Struthio camelus: one gene and its partner. The protein of the gene in region 2 purifies or fractionates together with the protein of the main gene of each other region. This does not show direct contact. Links are inferred from orthologs where the notes say so. Each region holds a gene or a part of one and is shown on either strand. Other genes may lie near its edges. The genes, in order: TTC1 and LIMK2.

Region 1 (8,877 bases), on a different chromosome or scaffold from region 2:
GGAGAGGGAGAGGGAGAGGGAGAGGGAGAGGGAGAGGGAGAGGGAGAGGGAGAGGGAGAGGGAGAGGGAGAGGGAGAGGGAGAGGGAGAGGGAGAGGGAGAGGGAGAGGGAGAGGGAGAGGGAGAGGGAGAGGGAGAGGGAGAGGGAGAGGGAGAGGGAGAGGGAGAGGGAGAGGGAGAGGGAGAGGGAGAGGGAGAGGGAGAGGGAGAGGGAGAGGGAGAGGGAGAGGGAGAGGGAGAGGGAGAGGGAGAGGGAGAGGGAGAGGGAGAGGGAGAGGGAGAGGGAGAGGGAGAGGGAGAGGGAGAGGGAGAGGGAGAGGGAGAGGGAGAGGGAGAGGGAGAGGGAGAGGGAGAGGGAGAGGGAGAGGGAGAGGGAGAGGGAGAGGGAGAGGGAGAGGGAGAGGGAGAGGGAGAGGGAGAGGGAGAGGGAGAGGGAGAGGGAGAGGGAGAGGGAGAGGGAGAGGGAGAGGGAGAGGGAGAGGGAGAGGGAGAGGGAGAGGGAGAGGGAGAGGGAGACATTTCCATGAGGTCAAGCAGCAGACAAGCGTTCCACTTAGTCTCATTCCTATTTTAAGGATTTAATATGTTCCCCTCCCCATGCCATATTGCTTTTCCACCTCAAGGAATTTGCACATTGATATGACTATCCATAATACAGGTGAAAAATTCCCCTTTTCCTCACTGGTATATTTGATCAAAAGAACATCTTACCAGCAAGGGAACTACACGAGCAACAGCTTGATTACATTTCTTTACACTGGTTTGTAACTAACAATGTAGTTGTTCAGGTGCCTCTTGGATCTACGCTCTGCATATTTCTGGCTCATCAGGCTCAATTTACAGCAGCTGACAATAAGATCATGGCATAGCAAAATTGCTGCCAAGCCTCTTCCTCTTTCCAGCTCTCTGGTACAATGGATGACCAGCGTTTATTTACTTCTAAAACATAGACAGGGCTAGCCAACAGCTGTGAAAGAACAGTACAGCTTTTCCAAGTCAGATGAATAAGAAAGAATCCTCTTGCCTACACAAAAAACTAATAAACTCCTATAAATCTCCTGAAACTTAACTAAAGAATCGCTACCAACATTCATAGTATTTTATGCACATTTTTTAATTCATTTCATATGAGCCTTCAGTTCCAAGTTTTTACCAAATGCTTCATTTTAGTAGTTTTCCTCCATTGTCCATTGCAGTAGTTATTTCTTCTACTGTTCCTGATGGTTTAGGAGTTTCCAGAATAAAAACTATGAAGCTATACACTGCTATTCCCTATGAGATAATGCTTTCCTAAGACCCTGTTCACCTTTTTGTCCGCTGCCATTCCTTGCCCAACTCTCTCCTTCACTCATCGTAATCCATTATTCAGTGTGTTACCTGTGACCCAAATTATGCACCCAGGCTTCCAATAAGGACTGTATTTCTTTTCTTAAAATAAGATCTAATTCATGCTCATAGGCTTATAATAGAGTACAATATAATAAATTTCACTGACATCTTCTGTTACGTAAGCTATGAAAGGTCAAAGTCCACCTTTCCCCAACTGCTGAAGAATAGACATAGCACACCTTTCATCAATATTTCAGTTTTCAGTACAAATAGCTGTTCATTTAGATAATCCAATCAGATTCTAAAAGGCTGAATCAGTTCTTTGAAGCACAATCTGTTTGAGAGGTTAAGCTACATCATTCTATTCCTCCTAACTTAACACAAGTAGGTTGCTCAAAACTCAGAAAAAAATATTTTTTTCTAAGAGCTGTATATCAGGACATTGATTTAGTTTAATGCCCTTACTCCCCTCTACTAGCAAACATAAGTTGCAAAAAATTAGAAAAAAAGGAATCATACACCTGCAGAAAGCATTTCACCATTTACTATGAGAGCATCATTTCTGGCAAAATTCACCACATTTCAGGACTCCACTCTTACACTAGAGTAAGGGATTTACAAGTTTTCTCAAAAAAAAATCAGAAAAGAATATTCTATTTTTTAAATATGAGATGACCATATCTGCCTTAGAACTCTGAAAAAAAGCTACGGTCACATGACATTGCTGACTGAGGGTCAAAAAACCCCAAACTGATTCACTCAGACTTACAGGGAAGTAGAAAGGATTGAGAAAGCTGTTGGACTTCCTCTCAGACCTACTCCATTCCTCCCCACCGCAATATCCAGTTTGTTACCCAAATGTTTTGTCCAATGTAACTGCACTGAAAGTAAGCAAAAATACAAACATTTGAAGGTTTTGTTTAAATTCTTACTAATCTAAAAAGATACAGCTAATTGAGGTTAAAGTTGAAAGTATTACACAAACTAGCTTTTCAGATATCAAAACTATCCTGAAACCTCCTCTGAGTTTTTATAAAGCACCTTGCAGCTAATTAGGGGAAAACAATGAATGCACACAAACTAAACAACTTGAAATAAGGAGATGTTTGTTTCTTATAATCTCTTTCCATCACAATAACTGCACACACTGGTGATCCCAGCAGCACATAAAAAAAACTTCAAAGGAATGCAATGATTAAGAACAGTACGGACAGCTAACAAAAATATTTGTTACCAAAACCAAGAATTTAAGAACAGTAAAACTAAGCATATTAAGAAGTCTTAAAGGTCCAGCTACATGCTGGATTTTATGCCAGAAAGGTCACAGATCATTCAGACAAGTGACATTGAAAATTTATCTTTTTGCATTCAACTTTAGTAAGTTGTATTACCTGTTTTTCTTCCTCTGGCATATCTTTTTCTAGTTCTAGTAAGTATTCTTCATCTAGCTCTGTTTGCTTCCTTGAGCTATTTTCATCATTCTGTACATTTCCTTCACCATCCACTTCAGATTCTTTTGCCTCAAAGGAGTCATGACAGTCATGGAAGCACTCATCTGCTGTTGTGGGCTCCTTGGCTGAAGATGGTATGCACTCACTTTTGAGGTTTTTTGGATTCTGTGCACCTTTGGGGCCAGCTGCCAAAGAACTGGTGCTCTCTGAAGACTTCTGATCAGAAAGCTTTAAGTTACGGAGTAACTCTTCAGATGGCCTTGAATCTTTAAATTCTTCCATGTCGGACACCTTAGAGGAGTCAGGTTTTTAGAAATGAGAGAGAAATAACCCTCAATAAGAGTAATATAAAGCCTTATCAATTAATGAACATCAAAGTACTTAAAATTTTACTCTCAGCATCACCTCAGGCAAACTGCTATCCCTTCAGGAGATGCAGAAACTAGTACGTGCCTCTCCAAATCACCGTAGCGTTCAGTGGGGCCCTTACACTACTCCACGAGCAACTTACTCGCTCAAGGATTCCCTAGACAGGCACAGCACAGCTCTGCGCTCCGGCCGTTACTTCGCGCACGGCCTGAAATCACACGCTTCCCAGCGCCCTGGGCACCACCTCGCCCGCCCGCGCCTCGCCCTCTGCCCCGGGCAGGGGGCTCCCGCGCCGCCCACCTCCGCGCTCTGCCCCCGGCCCGGCCCGGCCACCACACCGGGGGCAGCCTTTCCCGGCAGAGCCCCGCGGCCGCCTCAGCCGCCCCCCGCCCCAGCGGGGCAGACGAAGGACCTGCGCCCTGCCATGGCCCCGCCGGGCCGGGCCCACCACCCCCCACCGGCCCCCCACAGCCGCCGGCAGAGACCTGCTCCTTCCCTTCCGGCTGCCCCGCTGCCCTCTCACCCCGCAGGTCGCTTCCTGCCTGCGCCGGCCAATCGGGGAGGGCCGCGCGCGGGTTGCTGGGGTTTGTAGTCTTGCGGGCAGGCGTGACGCAGAGGGCGACGCCACGGCCCAGCCGCAGGGCGGGGCGTTTGGCGCGCGGCGGGAGGGCGCCGTTAGGGCGGTTGGGCCACGCGCATGCGCGGGGGCGGGGGCGGGCGGAGTGAGGGATGCTGCGGGTGGGTCACCTCTCCTGAGGCTGGGGGGGAGGGGGTGCTCCCGCCGGCGGGGCGCGGGTGGGTGGGCTGTAGGGGTCTTGGGTGCTGCTCTCCCAGGGGCAGCTGAAGGCATCAGGTGTAGTTAAAGGGGGAGGAGGTGCCGGGGGTGGCAGAGGCCTGCCCCAGTGCAGCCGTGGCAGGAGGTGGGTGAGGGACGGGGCACAGCTGGGGCTGGCGCAGGTGGGCAGTGCCCCCAGGCCACCGCCACCTGGCTTGGAAGGAAACGTTAGGCTGCAAATGTGAGAGGATAATAAAGAAGCAAATCTCGCTAGATGGATGAAAAGGAGGAGCATATGTATAGTGACGTATCTGTGACATGAGTGCAGTTGCTGCTTCCGTGGCCTGTACTTTATCTAATGATCTCTTTATCCAGTGAGGGAGACTCTCTAGTGTGCATGATGCTCCTAAAGTGTCTTGACCTGATTGTTTTCAGTATGGGCCTTAGATGTGGTTTCTCAATTGCGATGTAGCTAAGTACTGGACTAAAACTCCCTTTCATTTTGATTTGTAGTCATTCATTCTGTACCTCAGAATTGTTTAACCCCAAATCTCAAAGCAAAACTGAATTTTCTGGACTTTTGGAGTTAAAATCACATGAAGCAGCACATAAATCTCTATGCCAAACAATAGGACAGCTGGGGAATAATCTTAAGAGGTTTTTATTGCTCTAAAAGGTTCACAAATACTGAAAAGTTTTTCAGTAAGCAAGTTCTGATGAAAGATAAAATCAAGTTTCAAATGTTGCTCTAAATGTTTTATGCAGAGCTAATTTAACAAAAAAATCAAAAAGCCCATGTGCTATATAGGCCGTTGCAGATACTGTTTAGGCAGAATCTATTCTCATAGTAGGAAGTGGTCAAGGATTATCCTAAGAGAACGTAGGTTCTTGAAAACTGACAGTAATCCATCTTTTATTCAGAGGGAGATTCCCCTCCTTTCCCTCTCATACTGTGCGGAAATACACGGACAGACTATTAAAAGCGTGTCAGCTTTTCAGGAGTTACCAGCCACCATTATTAAAATATCACTGCAGTAACACATCTGGCAAAACTCCACTAGAGTACTGAAATGTAATTAGCCCATATGAGAGTCTTGGGGAAGGGGTGGATCTTTAGAAATATTTTGAAATCTATCCTGTCGTCCAAATAAAATCCACTCAGTGATGTCGTCAAGCTTCAGTTCAAGCCTGAAGGGCTTGTGGGATGTTCAGCATTTCAAAGTTGAGGTAGCAATTGAAGAGCTAGATTCATTTTTGGTCTTACCTTGTTTGATCAATGCTTCTAAATGAATGTTTCCTACTGTATATTCCATAACACCTCAACAGCTTTAACGTCAAGCAAAATGACGAAGATCTTTCAAATGTCTGTTGGTGCCAAGGATGGATGTGGGTATTAGATACTGAAACTTTACAGTAAGTTGGCAGTAGAATGGCTAGTTACAGTGAAAGCAAGCAGGAGCCCTAAAGCTGTTTTTTTTCCCCTCTCTGGGTAAAAAAGTGGTTTCAGTGTTCCGCAGTATCCCAGCTGCAATGATTTAGCCCACAAAAATGTACTTCTCTGCTGTTCTTCTGCTAGGACTGTGTAATTTATTCTGACTTACAGAAGATATTTCTGAACCCTCACATTGTCCTATACAATATCATTTGGTTGGGAAAGAGAGGACGAGATTACAGCCATGGTACAAAATCAAGCCATGCAGGTTTGAATTGGCTGAAATGTTATTTAAAACTCCTCTGACTGTGCAAAGAGCATGGGAGTTTGAGAAAGATAAAGGGTTTCACACCTAAGAAGACTTGTACTGATAAGAGTAATACCTTCCAGGGTGGTGTGCCAGCCTGTATTTCCCTTTAGCAAACAAGAGTTTGTTTGCGGGTAAAAACTCAAAGTGGCACTACTTAAAAGTTTTGAGCTGCTGCTCAAAATACCTTGCTCAGTGGCAAGGTATTGTCTTGCCTTTGTGTGAGGCAGGAGTTTCTAGCTTCCACAGAGCCCCAAACTCCGTTTGCTTTTCAGAAATGCTGCAGCTCCTAACTCCAGTCCCTAGCCAGCCCTGCTGAGCACTGTTCAAAATCTGTCTGTCACCTTTGGCACCCCTGCTGTGGGGCTGCTGGACTGAAATGACTGGCAATTTTTCCTTATCAGCACAGTTATAATTAGGGTTCCTCACATTTGATGAAATGTAGCATCTCATTGACGCTTCATATGAAGAAGTGTGTGGAAAAAAATAGCAGATTTTACCAAATAAATTTTCTGCTAGCGTCTCTTCTGATCTGGAAACGCTTTAGAGATCCCTGAACTTTTTAATTGCAATCTAGTCAGCACTATGTTTCTCCCAACACAAAGTAGGGAAAATGCTGCAGCTCACCAGGAACTCAATTCCCTGATTTCGTTTAGGGAATGCAGCTTTTCTCTAGAGCTAGCAAGAAGGGCCATCTTTCCCATCGTCCTACTCCATGAAAGATCGGGGTGTCGTCAGGAGCCCTTTTCAGAGGAGTGACCTTTGAGCCTCTTGGCCTCTGTTTAGTACGGTGGTTCATCCCGAAGTTAGCCCTGAGCAAGCTGCAGTTCAGTGAAAGCAGTTCAGTTCTCTGAATAGAATGTCCCTCCTGTGGAAAGGCCTGTATGTGGCAACAGGAGTTAAAAGCCCAAAGACTGCACTGGTATTCAGGGATTAAACACCCACCAGAAGAACCAAAGAGCTCTCTTGCCACCATCAGGGAACCAATCTTCCACGTACCAAATGAAGAGCCAGAGACTACTCTAACCTCCTTTAGCTGTCGATGCAACTGATGCGTGTAACTTCAACCTTTAAGGTTCCCCAGTGCTAACTTAGCACTGTATGTCTCACTTTTCCTCCTTTACACTCTAACTTTCTTCATGGAAGTGTTTTGTACATAGGTTACTTAATGTTTGAAAAATATATAAACATGCTCTCTTACAGTATTTTCAAACATAAACTTTTTAGTAAGAATCACTTACCCCAGAGGTTATAGGGCAGTTGTCAGATTTACCAATAAATTTCACTCGTTCCAACACAGAACACGTTACAGCTTTAATCAGTCTTTTAGAACCTCTAATTCATTGCTCTAAGTGGAAGTGTATGAATAGCCAAAGCTTGTATATATACAAAAAATGGAATCTCGGTGTCATTTGTTTAATCTTCTTCGTCCTAAGGGATTTTTTAGAGCAGCGATGTTTGTTTAACTGAACACCTGTTGAAAAAAATCAAGAACATATAATCCCGAATAAGTAGACGTGTTTGGATAAGAATTTGGTTATGGAAGCCTTAGTTTGTATTCGTGAGATTTACTCACTGTCTTGACAGAGCTTACCTCCCAGGGTAAGCACACAGCAAAATCCAGGGTCACCGCATACCTGAAGTGGAACGCTTTAATACCTCAGCAATTTTCTTGAGCCAAGCATAAGCTGAAGAGGTAAAGTTAGAGAAAGATTCTGCATCTCCATCCATATTTTCCTCCAGCAAGACCTTCTTTACGCTTCCAAAATTTTTCCTATTTCTTCCTTTATCCACAGCCTCATGATGATGGTGTTATCTGGCATGATCAGCTGGTGCAAGTACAGTGTAGCGTACCAAAAAAAAGACTGCGGTAACTGGAGAGTGTTGGATTGACTTGAAGCATAGGAAAAAGCAGTGTGAAAAAAAAGTGCATTCTTTTGTTTCTTTTTGACATGAAAGTTTTCTGCAGGATTTCTCACCACTTTTAAGATTCAGAACTTGGATTTCTATCTACCTTTTACAACTGTGAGTACTATTACAGAAGACAAGAAGGCAACTGGGAAGAGTAGGACATTTTAGTCAAAACCACTTATGTTTAAATTCATACCAGTTACTCTCTATTTTGTGTGTTTAGTATTTTGTAAAATGACTCTACTCTTTAGATGAAGTTATTGGAATTCATAGCTCATATCCTTAGGTTCACTTAACACAAAACATCTTCTGACAAGACCAGAGACAACCAGAATTGCTATTTCTAATATTTCAAAGGTTAAAATGTTCATAAAATATAACAATCGGCATAAAATAGCTTTAAATATTGCAAGCTAGCTGGTTTTTCTGTTGAACAAACAGGATCCTGAGAACAATACCTGGCAACTAATTCTCGCACTGGGAGATTCTAGCTTCAATATCTATGGCCAGAATTTCAAGACAGCTATGCACACAAGGAGGCATCTAATCTACATGCATAATTGCAGTGACCTCGGGGACACACTGGCTGACACTCTACTACTGGATTTCATTTGTGTATTCATTTGCTTGATTTACATGCATAAACATGAAAGCTGAGCATGCAAAACGTACTGAAAAAGCTGTTCCTATGCTTTGAAAAATCACCCTTGAAACACAATGTTCTGGGTTTTGGGGGCTTTTTTGGTGTTTTTTTTTTTTTTTAAGTAAATAAGAGCAGCTCTCTTCCACCAGCTACAGCTTACATTCTCTCTTAAAGATTTCTGATACCCATCCATGTATTACATTTGACTTGGTGAATAATAATTTGCTAGTGTTTCATTCCAGAAAGTTGCATTATTTCTTTAACTGTTTCCATGACCTGTGAGTTATTCCGATTTTGACCTTGCTTACCCAATGAACGTTTCATATTTGTACCTCAAAAATATTTGTATTTTCCTATGAAATGTTGAGGTGATCCTAAAATTGTTCATTCTTACCGTTCCAGTTTCATACAATATAAAAGATGTTAAGGTGTTTAAATTTTGCAAGTAAACTGAACCAAAGCCCTGCATTCAAACAGCCAGAGACTATAAAGATAAGCATTTGAATTTTGCAGTCTTCAGGCATTTTCAAATACTAATATTTACAGCGGATGATTCACATGGTAGAGCCAGTGCGAGGCCTGTCATTGAGCAATGCAGGTACATGCTTCGTGTTTTTCACAGAATGCATAGACTTTGCAGGAGTAGCACTGCAGAAGTAGT
Region 2 (8,102 bases):
ATTTGTGGCCTTCAAGCAAGAACTGCAGTTCCTGGTTTCCTTTTTCTCAAACTTTTGGGTTGCTCTGGGAAAGTTGCTACTGTGTGAAACACTTTACAACCAGGAGAACTAGGGAGGTAGGTAACAATAGCGTGGCAAACTGAAAGTTGTCAGACAGCATGCCAATCCTTCAGCCTTAGGAAAGAAGCCAGCAAGAGGGAACGTTTGTCTGCAGTTTTGCAAAATGTTTTTGAGATATGTTTTAAATGATTTGTAGCCTTTTTTTAATCTTCTGTTGCTTTGTTCTCTGCAGGGATTCCAGGGCTTTGGGTTTGGGGATGGTGGCTTCCAAATGTCATTCGGAATTGGGGCCTTTCCCTTTGGTATATTTGCCACAGCATTCAACATAAATGACGGGCGACCTCCTCCAGGTACTGTGCGTCCTACCTTCTAGGAGAGTCATATCATAAACAAATGTTTTACAAACTTACTTGTGACTTCTAAAAAAATAGCCTGCTAAGTGACAAAATTTCACTTTCTGGTGAAATAATTTCACTTTTTTTTTTAATTAAGAAAAAACAGTTCAGTTACTTCAAATAGTGGTCTCGTTCTCTAAAAGTTGTTTGGTAATCCCCAGAAACACACCTCCCTATCAGCACTGTAGGAATAACTGAGTCTACCTGTTTCAAACGAGAAAACCTACTGCCCAACGTTTTCTGGACTTCCTGGGTGAAAGGTTCCACCTGGTAAATTTACTTCACTCTATAATATGGGTTGAGGATACATTGTGTTTTGGCCTAGGAATTATGAGGAAAAAACCAGAAGGTCATTCTTCATGTCACATGTGTATTGAAAAGGACCTGTGTTGTCCTTGGGCCAAATGAACTTGCCTATCAGCTATACTTTGCTTTGCACTGAAAAATTGTGTGGGGTCTGCCTGAACTGAGGGGTATTTAAATGTGTGCTGATATACAGCCATCGTTTAACCAACGCTTTTATCTGCTTTTCATCTGGGGACTCAATACAGCAGTTCCAGAAAGGTCCATCCAGAGCTTTAAGCTTGTGCGCTTTTCATCAGTTCTCTTGGTCAAGGCTACACACGCAAGTTTTGACTCTGTTACCATTTGCATATGCAGAGAGATGTATTTCACCTTGAGGGGGAAGGAAGGCTGAGGCAGAGGTTGTAAAGTTCCTCAGGATGGAAACACCTGGCAACAATGAACTTAGCTCAGCTTTGTCCCCAGTACTCTGAACGGACTTGTCCGGACTTAGCACTTGGAGCTGCCTGCTCCTATTAGTCATGAGCAGGCCTACTGCCAGTTCTGCTCTGAGGAGCTGATGCTTCTCTTCCTTCTGACCTTCTGGCATGGCTAGGCAACCCAAGGATAGGAAACCTTGTCAGCAACAGTTTTTCTGCAGGTGGATTTCTTGCGTATTTTTCAACTTATGAATGTGCTATATGCAGAATATACAATATTCTGGAGAAGTTGAAAGAGCTGAACTGTTTTTTTTACTTCCTGTTTTCCAGCTGTTCCAGGGACTCCTCAATATGTGGATGAGCAGTTCCTATCCCGCCTCTTCCTGTTTGTGGCTCTGGTGATAATGTTCTGGCTGTTGATTGCATAAATCTTTTCCATTATCCTGTATATTCATGGCCAGCGAGGCCTCTGAAACAGTTACAAACTGCATCCCCTTCCCATTTTAAACCTCTTGGTGTCTGGTTCCATAGCTAATCACGGGTTCCAGAAACTGGTGGTACCACAGCACAATGAAGAATCTCGCGTTTTGCACCAGAGCTGGAAATTAAACATTGGTTTAAAAGCATATTTCAGCTCAGCTATCTTGTACAACAGGTTCCTGCCACAAACCATGGGGCTAGCTTTGAGCTCCACTTCTAAAAGGAGTGCTGCTTTTAAATCCTGTGCCAATTAGTTACAACAGGTTTACTTGAAAGACAGTTGCCCCAAGGTAGGCTGGGCAGGTAAGCAAAGTTCTGTAGTGTGATCTGTATCTCATGTTTGGCAACCACGATGGACCAGCTGGAGTTGCGGATGTTGTTTGATGTCTTCACATCAACATCTAGCCTTCTTCAGGAAGTCATCTGCAGCACTGCTGAGACTCCTTGGGCGTGACTTGTGATGCAAATGGAACCAGCTTTGGAGAATGCTTTCTTTTCTTGCTGTTATTTGATGGAGTGATGGAAAACTCCCTGCTGAAGTGGTTCCAGTGGCTGTTATAAGAAGGGATACAAGTTTATGCTGCAGTTTCTTAAAACCTGCATTTGCTGGAGCCAGACACTGGAAGATGCTCTCGTCGTGGAGCTGGCTGGGGTTGCCGAACAGTACACACACCTGTCTGCCTCACCCAAGCTCAGTTCCCCGCTGACAAAACAGTGTTGTCTTCCTTGGTTCTTCACAGCAGTCTCTGGCTGCACCCATGGATAATCCCCTCACAGCCTTGTCACTGTAGCTACATTTCTTTTTCCTAAGGCTGTGAGACATTAAGCAAGATCATGTACTCCAAATAAAATCCTATTAACAGATCTGAGATCAGCTTTTTGGGGGAGAGGAATGAGGGACATTTTAAAGTGAGCTTTGAGGTTAAACTTGTCATACTGTAAAATTATGCAGGAGGGGGAATGAAATCCTACCTTTGCTAGCCACAGTGGGGAGCATTTGGAAGAGTTTCTCTGTACAGATGTGTAAAGATGCTCTGTGCCACAACAAAATGGCTATAGCGCAAGAGTCATTGCAATATCTACCAAAGATATTCATTGGAAATAATGGAGGAAACTACAACCATTTCTGTGCTGAGGGAAAAACGTTTCAGAAGGTGAGCACACAAGACTAGCCTTTTTGGAATCCTGTTGGGTACATAGCTTTAAAAAGTATTCCTGATGTATTTGTGTAGATTCTTTCAGAACAGCAGCTATGAGGGATTCCCTAGCAAGATGAACAGTTTTGATTTTTCTTCTGACTAGGCAATTCCAACTTTTTTTTTAAATTATTTTTAATTATTTTGATTCAGATCACTGATAGTCATAATAATTTCCTGCAAGATGAATATTTTGACTTCCTTGGCAGTTGACTGACAGCTGACAAAACAAATCAACTCATAGAAGCCTTGTTTAAATAGTTAGGCTTTTTCTCATGCATATGGATGAGGTTCCTGGGCAAGGCACCTTGATTAATTGTTGTGCAAGCTAACTTCTGTAATTATAAACTGTTCACTGAGGTTTAACTTGCCCGCCTCCAAAATTCCACGTGGCAAGTACAATTTTGCAAAGCTTCTGCAGTGTTTTGCCACATCCAGTCGAGTTTATACCTGACTTGCTGATAATCTGGCAGAATATCTCTCTCAACTATAAATAGCTGAAGCAATGCTTCAACTTTTGTTGTGTGGCACTTTTGAGAAGCTTAACTTCTTTTACATCTGCTTCTTCTCAAGTGCGTAACTCGGGAAGTAGGACCCTTTCTAGGAGAAAGGCTATTTATTGCATTCCTACAAGCAACCGGCCATAGTTTGTAAAAAACGTCGCAGCTTTGACGGGCTTTCGTGAGCAGGCAGCACCACCTGCTGATGAAAAGGAAAAGTTCTCGTGGTTGTACAAGGGAGGGTTTTCCTTCTCCCCGAGTACCGAGAAACTGGGTGCCGAGAAGGAGCTGCGGTTACCCAGGAAGGAGTAGGGTATCCCTTTAAAGCCTTTTTCCTACAAGGAGGACGGAAAAGTAACTGTCGTAGGCTCAAAAGAGGTATTAATCGAGATTTAACTAACACTTATGTTTTAAAATACAGAATTTTTAATGGTTTGGGGGGCGGGGTGTTGCCATCTACTGGTGAGAGAAGCAATGGCTTTAGACTGAGGTGGCTGCAGAAACATGACTGAGAGTCCTTAATTTCCAGGCAATCCAAGAATGAAATAGTCTAAAAGTGTTAATGCTTTTGTTCTTACCTTTCTCTCGGTGTGCTTTTTGTATTGTAGCACTTTCCCCTTGTACTGAGACCGCACGCGGCCCCTAACGGCTCGCTTAGTGCGTCACCGTTACTGTTCACTAATTTTCACTGTTGTGAAAGTGATTTAGAATAAAAAAAATGGTTTTACATTGACCTGAGCGTCTTGGGCCTCTCTGCGCGCTCCGCCGGGGGCCCAGTCACGGCGGCTGCGCGGGGCGCGCGCGCCCCAACGGCCGTTGGTCGGTACCTGCCGCCGGGCGGGGGAGGGGCGGCCGGGCCCGGCGGCGGGGGGCGGCGGGGGGCGGGAGCCCGCCACGCCACGTGGGGGGCGGGGCCGGGGCGGGGCCGCTCCCTGATTGGCCCCGGCCGCAGGAGGGGCGGGCCGCGCCGCGGAAGGGGCGGGAGGGCGGCGGGGGTTGGTCTGCGGCCGCCGGGAGGCGGAGCGGCGATTGGGCCTGCGGGGAGGAAAAGGGCGGGGGCGGGGCGCGGCTCAGGGCCGTAGAAGCGAGGAAAGAGAAGTAGCAAGAGAAGGGAAGGGAGGAGGGGGTTCGCGCGCGAGCGCGCGCGCGCGCACCCGGGCCAGGTGCGGTGTGACCTACCGCGCGCTCCGTAGCGGCTGACGTCACGCGCGGGCGAGCCCCGGGGCGGCGGCGGCAGCGGTGATGGAGGAGCTGCCAGGTGAGGCGGGGGGGAGGGCCGGGCCGCGCCGCGCCTACCGTGGGCGCTGAGCGCCGCCGCCGCCGCCCTGCCCAGCCGCGGGGCTGCCGCGCCGGGCTGCGGCTCCCGTCAGGCGGTTGGGCGGCAGGTGCGGGGCTGCGCGCGGCCCCGCCCGGGCCCGCCCGCCGTCCCCGCGGCTGCCGAGCCCGTCGGCCAGGCCGGCCGCTGCCTGCCCCGCTGCTGCCCCGCGTCCCGGGGGAGGTCTGGCCCGGGCCCCGGTGCGCCGGGCTCGGAGAGGCGGCGCGGTGTTTGCGTGCCCCGAGGGTGGCGGGCTGCGCGGCTTCGCGCCGCCGAGGCCAGGCTGTCCGTCCCCGTTTCCTGCTCGCCCTTCCTTAGCGTGGTTGTCCGCCGGGACCCGGCGGTCTTGCTCGCTTTCCGCTCCCTTGGTTGCGGGGGCCTGGCAGCCCCGCTGCCGCCGGAGGGCGGCCCCGCTGGTCCTCTGCCGGGCTTTGCTGCTCGGCGGGGGGCTCCTTTCGCCGGCTTGCCGCTGGCCCTCTCTGCAACGCTCCTCCCGGCCTGCGGGACTTGGCAGACCTGTTATATTGATTATGTCTCTTTGCTTTTCCTTCGCGCTATTTCCTGCTCTGTTTTTTTTTTTTTTTTCCCTCCCACTTCCATCACTTCTCCTGGATGCCTAAGGAATTTCAGTTGAATATAGCGTTATTCATTTCCTTTTGTGGGCTAATCAGCCTTCCTGGATGCAGTTAAATTTTTCAGCTTTGCAGCTGGAAGATGACTAGTGCACAGAGTTTAGAAGTGAACTTGTAAAGCTGTATGATCCTTGTGGAGGAATGTCTGTTGCTTTTAGTTAGCAGTAGTGTAATAATTGGTCCTTCAATTTCTGGAAACAGGTTCTCTTTTCTGCTTTCACATTTGTTTCTTCTGCTCCTGGCATTAAAGGGGGGACGGGGGGGTGGAGCTGAGGGATGTGTGATTTGCAGCCTTACTTGGCTGGTAGAGTGGCAGGAATTCCAGAAGTAATTCAGCTGGCTTTGAGGACTTGTGTTACGTTACTTGGAGAGAAGTGCCCCTGCTCCCTGCCCGTTATGTCATGGGCATACGTGGACTTGCCTTTTGTTTCTAAGCCTGTTGTAGTGCACTGAAAAGCATTTCGTTTTACAGAGGCACATGTGAAGTAGTGCAAGCTTTAAGCTTTTTGTAAGTGTCTCCTAACCCTCTTCCAGCAGTGGAGATCTGAGCTCAGCTGGAATTCGCTGTGCTCCAGATAGCAGGAGGGAGCAGAAGCATTCCCAGGTATTGAGCTGAAGTGTTCTTGGGAAATGAAGTAGCAGCTTATGCCACATCTGAATGAATCCTGTCTAGCACTGTAGTCTGCATAGAGACCTTTGTGGGTACTGCTCATCCCCTGACAAGGGTGGTGCTTGTTTGTGCTTGAGCAACAAGTCCTGTCACTGAAACAGTTATCTGTGAAAATGTACGAGGACATCTTCAGCCTAGTTATTTTTAAGTGTTGTTAACTGACCCACGCAGTGGGGTAAGAATGCATAGAAGTCTAATGACTTATGTTTTGTGTAACTTCAAGGAACTTGGCCTCAATACCTATTAATGTTTAGAAAGCTATGTGAGCAAGGGGAATTTACTGTACCTTGAGCACCTCTACATAGTCTATGCTGAGTATTGAGCTTTTATTTTAATCACTAAATCTAGACTTTTTCCTCCTCTTATCTTTACTTCTCTCTTTTGGTTCCCTGCTCTATTTGTTTTAAGCTCTCCCAGGTTGTTTACCCTAGCATTTCAAGGTGATGCTTTGCCCATCCACATTGCGGTAATCATAACTACTATGTCACGATACGTACTGAATACCGCTTCTCTGGTTGCTGTCACAGGGGCTTTCATTAACTAGTCCCAGAGCCTTTTGCAATATTGATTTGTTACTGGAGCACTGAATATTGTGTGTGTGTGTCTCTCTCTCTCTCTCTCTCTCTCTCTCTTTCTCTTTTTTACTATTATTCTGATAAGCCCATAACCTAGTAGTTCTGTGTCTTTGAATTGTATCTGTTGGAGGTGGTAACGTTCTCTCAGTTTAAACCATGAAGCTAAAGAGAGACTATGAGATAAATAAATCATCTTCCCTGTGCAACTGAGGCTGGGCTTATAAATGCTAACCTGTTAACCTTCTACGGCTTTCTTCTCTAGCATCATACAGCTGACTGTGTCTGCTGTAGCTGGGTCTTTTCTGGAGAGTAAAAGTTAGCTTGGTTCTGTTTGGAGTAGGCATTTGAACCTTTTTTAAACTTGACTTGGCCATTCAGAGTCTGGGGAGTAAGTGAAAAGTGTAACCCTAGAAGTAGTGTTGGCTTTTTCTGTACTAGACTTGCATATCCTGGGTGGTTTCTAGCCTGTAGATTCTATAATAGCTGACATGAAGTTCATCTCACAAATAGCTAATGGGTAGGTGTTCTCCCTGTTTTATGTGAACTTACAGAGGTGGTAACTGTAGGAAAATGATTGAAAAGGATTTGGTCCGTTTAAGAGCTATCTTGTATCTGTATAAGTTACAGGGTGAAGTTACAGAAGGAAGCTGCTTGCATCTGACAGCTTACTGCTTGCAAGTGTGCAACTGCACCCCGTTGCAAATATTTGATACTTGCAATTGATCCCAGAGAAAAACTGTCTCCTTTAATGTATGCTTTAGGAAGAAGGGGTAATTGAGTGACTGCTGAGTTTTTCTGTTCTTTGGAAACTGGAAGTCCGTGGTTAGTGGTTTTCCTTCTCTAAGCATGCTTTTTTCTTTATGCAACCTTGCTGCAAGTAAACCTCTAGTAGCAAGAAGAAACAGGTTTGAGATCTGCCCAGTAGCTGTGTAACATGTTTCTTGCACCATCTTGTGCCCATCCAGATCCTTGGTTCTTGCTTTAAGATAGTACTTGTATCTGTTTGGATTCGGGATAGCATTTATCTTTGTACAAGAATCTTCATACAGTTTTTCTAGCTTGTATACACCTAAAGAACTAGCTGTCTCAGGGGCTTTATGGCACTTCTAGCAGAAGCTATTATAGTTCTTGGACTAGCCACGGCTTTTTCTGAAGCAATAATAGGCCAATAGCATATGCCCCTCTCCCTAAATCTGGCTCCAGTCTAGTGTTCGTTGTACAGTCTCTACTGGAATATCCATTCAAGTGTGTAATTCCTTCCTGGTAGTCGAGTTGTCCTCTGCTGAATAAAGTTTGCCTTTCCTTTCTTTCTGTTCTGGGAAATGCAGTTAATTATACAAATGAGTGCAAATGTTATGTGCTGAGTCAGTGGCATGGGGGAAACAGTAGCTTGACTTCCTGGCCTTGCGAAAAATAATATTGCTTTCTTCTGCAGAATATGAGGAAGCTGATGGTGGTGTGGGATCTTGGGGGGAGGGGGGGGGAACAGAGGGGGAAGTAGTACATTAAATGTTCATTTCAGAAACCTCTGTCCCTGGGATTACAGAGTGGCCAGTA

Evidence for each region.
Region 1: the proteins of LIMK2 (region 2) and TTC1 purify together in Homo sapiens (affinity purification with mass spectrometry; 3 studies listed by BioGRID and IntAct, counting the BioPlex papers as one, with this or other methods). This does not show direct contact. The link is inferred for Struthio camelus from reciprocal best matches to the Homo sapiens genes LIMK2 and TTC1.

What each region holds. Positions count from the first base shown.
Region 1 is NC_090954.1:14,187,940-14,196,816, reverse strand, and holds the start of TTC1 (tetratricopeptide repeat protein 1), read right to left. Parts: upstream 3,696-8,877; 5' UTR 3,634-3,695; exon of another isoform or gene 3,185-3,633; intron 3,071-3,184; 5' UTR 3,062-3,070; coding exon 2,720-3,061; intron 1-2,719.
Region 2 is NC_090958.1:8,182,087-8,190,188, forward strand, and holds the start of LIMK2 (LIM domain kinase 2), read left to right. Parts: upstream 1-4,407; 5' UTR 4,408-4,595; coding exon 4,596-4,611; intron 4,612-8,102. Other genes in the region: E3 ubiquitin-protein ligase RNF185, read left to right, coding at 293-410, 1,508-1,605. UniProt on the Homo sapiens protein: Serine/threonine-protein kinase that plays an essential role in the regulation of actin filament dynamics. Acts downstream of several Rho family GTPase signal transduction pathways.